2 linked regions of the Oryzias latipes genome follow. The protein of the gene in region 1 interacts with the protein of each later gene in a pairwise test. Links are inferred from orthologs where the notes say so. Each region holds a gene or a part of one and is shown on either strand. Other genes may lie near its edges.

Region 1 (3,662 bases):
GCCTGAGCTGAGATGTCACACAGCCAGTGGCACGCAGTAATCTGTTCAGAAGGAAGCAGATGTAAAAAGTATGAAACTACACACAAGACACATGCAGAGTAGCCAATGTTTAAAAGCTGAACAACCGTTGTGACAAAACTTTATTTTGTTTTCTTCTATTTTGTAAACTATATCACTAGCTGTGTTACTACATATAAAAAAAAGATAGTTTAGTTAAGAAGTGAATTCCAATCCTTGACTCTACCTCTGTTTTCCTACAAGGCTAAAGGGTACGTGTAGAAATTAGGGGTGTGTACCTTTCCCTCTCACATGATTTGATACATGGTCCATGAATCGATACATAAATGATTCAACTAACCTAGTGGCATCAAAATACAGTCTATTTCTTTTACCTTAATGGATACAATCCAAATATTTACTACTCATTTGGTGTTTAAAGCTATAAATGACAATGTCTTTTAACAGACATGTCTTTTTTTTCTAACTGGCACTTTTATTAAGCAACAACAGAAATAACTACCTTAAACATAAATATCTGGCATTTGAGGATTGTTTAACTGTTTTCTGGTTTTAAAATAGGTGTCAGGGGTTATGCTATGTTTAATGTAGTTCAGCCAATTGTAACTGACCCAAGCAAGCTTGTGATTGGATGTCTTTCTTTTTCTCACATCACCTGCACATACAAAAACAAAGGCAAAGACAGTAGACATAGCAGGAAAAGAAATGCACTATAATTGCTAAAAATTAGTTGTTCGCTTTCCGATAGATTTTTGTAATACTTTTTACTAGAGATGTGACAATTCTCCGTTTAAAAACTGAACTATATGTTACTCTATTGAACTGAATCGTGGCAAAGTGTTTCATTGCATCCCTACTACATACCAGGATTTTTACACTGAAAGTCAAACACGTGTGTATTATTGTTTATTTGATAACATTACACCAGGCTTAGACAGCTGAAATCTTTTTTTTTATTGTTACTGTCTTATTTTAGAAGTAAAAACTGAAATTTTTGAATTTGTTGTTTTTTTTTGTTGATGTTTTGTTATACACAGATCATATATTGAACCTAAACAACACCGTGACTAAAAAATCTATGTTTGAACTGAATCAGGGAGACAGCGAATTGTTGCATTCCTGCTTTTTATAAATATAATCTCATTGGTATCTGTGCATTTTTCCAAATGGACATGTTAATCTTTACATCCCATAGTAGAAATGCAAGCACTGCGATAGCTATGATCTCAGTAAAATCTTTTGGAAACTACTGTGGTTGGTGCATAAAATAATAAATAAATAAAAAAAAGTTATGGCCTAGATTAAGGATGGGCAACTTCAGGCCTCGAATGCCACATTCTTGCATGTTTTCCAACATTCTCTGCTCTGGCATTTTCTATTTGGCTGGACACACCCGAACCAGGTAATAAGTCAGGTGTTGGGCTTGGATATCTGGAAATCATACAGACACAGCGGCCCTCAGGGCCTGGAGTTGGCTATCCCTGTTCTAGAATATAATATTTAAAGAATTAAGTATGTGCACAAATTATTTGATATGAACAATTATCTTAAAAAAAGATTAGTGCATTGTTTTTATAATGTGAAGTCCTCTCAGACGGACATTGAACACTTATAACACAAATATAACCCATACAATGGGTTTCTTGACTAAAAAACATCCACTTTTGCATGACTTAATATTCTATGTTAAGAGCATTGATAAAGAGTTATCGCTTTATCTAAATCAACATTCGAAAGACACTCCTCTTTCCTGATGTAAAGCTTGGGCCAAAATGCAGAATTGGATTCACCTATAGTCACTTTTAGAGTGGTTGCTCGATTGACGTAACAGATGTAACCGAACTGTGTTCAGACCTTGTGTTGCTTTGCTGTTTTCCAGGCGCTGCTGCCTGCAGCAGGGCTGCTCCAGCTCAATGAGGTGAAAAAGGCTTGCTGTGAGTTCCTGGGCGCTCAGCTTCATCCATCCAACTGTCTGGGGATTCGCGCTTTCGCTGACTTACACGCCTGCTCCCAACTGCTTGTGCAGGCTAACAGCTATGCAGGTTCTTGTGGCTTTAAAAGTCCGTTCACACACATATGTTTTTAGGATCTAAAATCACACCTAGAATGATCCAATAATGCCTATGATCTCAATCGTAACGTATTACCTTTACATATAAGACGTCTTTGCCACTTGTTGTTTAGGGTTACATCAGAGTCGTGTACTTTTCCAGTTTTTTGTAGGTCATTGTCATGCAGTGCAGTGATACTCACTTTATTGAAGCGAGTTTATGGGAGTCCAGAAGAATTTGGAACAAAAGAGGGGACAGAATGAGGACGGGTGTAATTAATGGCCCGTTGGAGAGAAGCAAACTTCTTGCATGTTTTGTCTGCTGCCACAGAAAGAGGCTGTAAAACTTTTGTCTTTGTGATGACAGAGCAACACTTCACTGAGGTGGTTGGAAGTGAGGAGTTTCTCAATTTGGGCATGGAGCAAGTGTCCAGCCTGATTGCAAGTGACAAGCTGACGATCCCCACTGAAGAGAAGGTATACATTTGTCTCGATGGCCATCCACGATAGGGCTCTCAGGTTATTGTTCAGATTTACAGATGTATCTTGTAAACAGGTGTTTGAGGCAGTGATTGCTTGGGTCAACCATGACAAAGATGTCCGCCAGGAACACTTGGCTTACCTAATGGAGCATGTTCGCCTGCCACTCCTCTCCAGAGAATACCTGGTGCAGGTATGTATTCCTGCTGTCGGTCTTTTCCTACCTTTGTCTCGTGTCTTTTTCTGTACATTTTGAACCATTGACTATATAATGAAACTGGACAAGTTGTGTGTGAGACGTCACCCTTGCCTCTAGTTCCAACCGTTGACTGTAGAAACGATGGTCAGCTCAACCCCTCCCTTCTCGTGTTCCCAAATAGGAAGTAACATTGCTTTCTAATACGAGTGCCGCCATGTTGAAACCTGTCATCGTATCTATGACAACTACTGTCGCCATTGCCATAGATACGATGGCTCAGAGCGACTCTGACTAATCACTGTCGACTGGTTTTTACGGGCCTGTGTCAGGAAGGAATGGTGAGGGTTTTTGCCTCATTTCGCGAGAGCTGGAGGTAAAGTTCCAACCAAATGAAATCAATTTAGTTTCCATTTTTCTGCAATATGTCCATCGCCAAGTTGGAACCAGACATCCTCAGTACTCCATGATTGGTCTGTCTACATTTCTGTGGCAACCACTCTCTCCAATCAGGAGTGAGCACCCCTACACCTGAAAGTGGGCACTGTAGAATCTGTCAATCAAATGCTTTGAATGTTCAACGTGAGGCCACCTAATTTTATTAAGGCATCTGATTGGTCAATTTATAACTTGAATAACTTGCGCTACAGCAAAAATATAGTGGAAAAAAAAATCAGGATTCGCAAGAACATATTGATAAACGGTATTAGAGCAAGAATGGTTATTCTGAAGAACATTATGAATGACTAATAGCTATTTATTTCTCAATAGAGGTCTATGGGATTTTTGCTTTTTTGGACCAGCGGTTACCCCTTATTTGGAACGCAAGGGAGGAGGGGTCACTCAGTCCAGTTCTCATTTACTGTCAATGATTTGAACAACAAGGGGTGTTTTGTAGGGGTGTAACAATTCAATTTA
Region 2 (2,360 bases), about 260 kb from region 1:
AGAACACGTCAATATAAGGGTGGGGGTCATCTAAGATAGCACAAGGGTTAATCCAAACCCTCTTTTCTTTTTGACCACTATTATTTTATCTTATAACCAGCAGATACTGAATGTTCAAAGAAGAATAACAGCTGAAACACGTAAAATGCATTTGGATGAGTCATCAGTCCCACTAAAGCTTTCTGTTGATGCAGAAAAAAAAAAAGAGGATCAGAGTTTGTTGTGACCCTCGTTCCAGAGCCTCTGCTGAAATCTGAATTGCACTTTGAAGCATACTGGGGCCTTAACATTAGCTCTGGACAATCAGGACACCAGACACCAAAGAGTCAGAGTTCACAAGTACAGAAACAGGTATTCAAAAATAAATTGTAATTCCGTCTGAAGTATAAAAATCTAATGTTTCAAATATATATATATACATATATATTATTGCCATAGGAATGTGTTAAATGTTAAAATCGAACCTCAAGTAGCTGTTTTGATTGGAGCTGTGTGTTCTCGTTCACTGGAGATCAGTTCTTCATGCATTTGTGTCACTAGAAATGTTATTGTTGCCATCAGTTTGTAACTTGGATTAAAGCTGTTTGGTCACACTGCACTGAAATAGACCACAGTTCATCCACTTTTCTACAGCTTTATTTATTCACTTTGACGTTTCACATGATTCTCTGGGTGTAACGCCCATTTTTGTCTGTGCAATAAAGACTGAATGTAGAACCCCGAGTGAGGCTGCTGTGGTGACGTCGTTCAGTCGAACACAGCTCAGCATGGTCAGGTGCTTCACAGGAGTCCTTTATTTTAAGGCCAGTTTGGTGGCAGTTCCACAAAAGCCTCATTGCAGTCTCAGTGGGAGTCGGACATCTGCGCTGACTCATCTTCATAACTGCAATCATCCTTATCTTCTTTATGTTCCTCTTCTACATCCTCCTTTCCTTCATTCTTTGTGCCCAGCCCTTTATTCGACACCTTTCGCAGTTTAATGTTTGGAAGTTTTCTCAGATCCCCGGTCCATTCTCTGCCATGAAAGAAAAACAGAAATCGACAAAAATATCTCATTTTAAGCTGCAGAACATACAAAACAAAACACATCAGAAACGCAGACTTTAGAGTTGCAAAAGTCTCAAATGAGGGAGAACCTTATGAAACCACAAGCAGATTTTTACACAACATGACATCCTTTCTTGCAGTAAGACATTTCTTAAGCATGGTGTCCAGAAATCTCATTTAAGCAAATGTAATCCCCTTATTTTAAGAGGTCTAACGATTCTAAGAATGTTCCTTTAGACCAACCAAAGAGCAACCTGTTTATTTATATCAATGTTCAAAGCATCACTAATAAATACATGATTCTACTTTATGAATGGATTTTAAAGGGGAAAAATTTACAAAATAGAAGATTTTTATGGTACTTCTTTAAGATTGGGAGTTGGGTCATCTAGACCCACTAGACAGTGCTCTGAACCTTTTTTCTTCACTGATTTGTGATCTTCACTGGTGTCCATGGATTACATGAAATCTTTCCACCTCTATCCACCTTTGTCATGTTAGGAATAACAAGGAATAACATGTAAGGGTGGGGTCATTTGGTAAATTTTTGCTCGCAACAATGTTAGTTTAAGATGTGCAAACTCTGACATGAATGTTCAGGACAAAAAAGCACCTTATTTATTCACTGTCTCAAATTTGATCCACATATTATTGACATGGTATTGACATTGTTAGAAAGAATTTACTGTCAACAAAATTTGCATTTATTTAATTCAGCGAGTAGTCATTTTAGAAATGAATAACAATAAAGGAGCTATTCTGACCATGAAGTATAGAAAAATTAGCTAAACTTTTCCAACCAACAAGGTTTTTGAGATTTCACTGAAGCAGCCATTTTGAAATTCCACTACTGCCCCTAGTGGAATGTTGTTGAACTTCAGGGCAGAAAACATTTTTGAAGTTGCATACAATAGGTTTTAAAGACCCACTCCAATGAAAATAGTGTTTTGGGGGATTTTAACATGTTCTTGTAGAATTCTTTTCACGAGGAGGACATTTATTTAAGATTTCTGAGTACTTATTCAAATCAGAATGACCCAGGAGCAGACTATAAAATCCAGTTTGAAAAGGCTTTCTTTTGTGACACAACTGAAATGGATGGGCCAAAGTCTCCCTGCTCAGTTTCGTTCTGATGCATCCACTTTCAGACAAATAGATCCATTAACGTCTTCATTTTCCTCGTCTGAGCTGGCATCTGGCTCAAAACTCTACAGCTGGATAGCTCCAATGTTGCTCGCCATTTTTGTAGCGCCGGTAATATACGGTTGGGGTTGTGAGGGGGTGTAAGCTAGCGTGAGAGAGTGTAAATAAAG

What was found.
Region 2: the proteins of klhl2 (region 1) and tma16 interact in binary tests that used the Homo sapiens proteins (3 or more experiments, as listed by UniProt). The two-hybrid records come from large-scale screens. The link is inferred for Oryzias latipes from reciprocal best matches to the Homo sapiens genes KLHL2 and TMA16.

What each region holds. Positions count from the first base shown.
Region 1 is NC_019859.2:19,769,445-19,773,106, forward strand, and holds part of klhl2 (kelch-like protein 2), read left to right. Parts: intron 1-1,897; coding exon 1,898-2,060; intron 2,061-2,435; coding exon 2,436-2,545; intron 2,546-2,624; coding exon 2,625-2,741; intron 2,742-3,662. UniProt on the Homo sapiens protein: Substrate-specific adapter of a BCR (BTB-CUL3-RBX1) E3 ubiquitin ligase complex that mediates the ubiquitination of target proteins, such as NPTXR, WNK1, WNK3 and WNK4, leading most often to their proteasomal degradation.
Region 2 is NC_019859.2:19,507,526-19,509,885, reverse strand, and holds the end of tma16 (translation machinery-associated protein 16), read right to left. Parts: intron 1,016-2,360; coding exon 844-1,015; 3' UTR 619-843; downstream 1-618. UniProt on the Homo sapiens protein: Involved in the biogenesis of the 60S ribosomal subunit in the nucleus.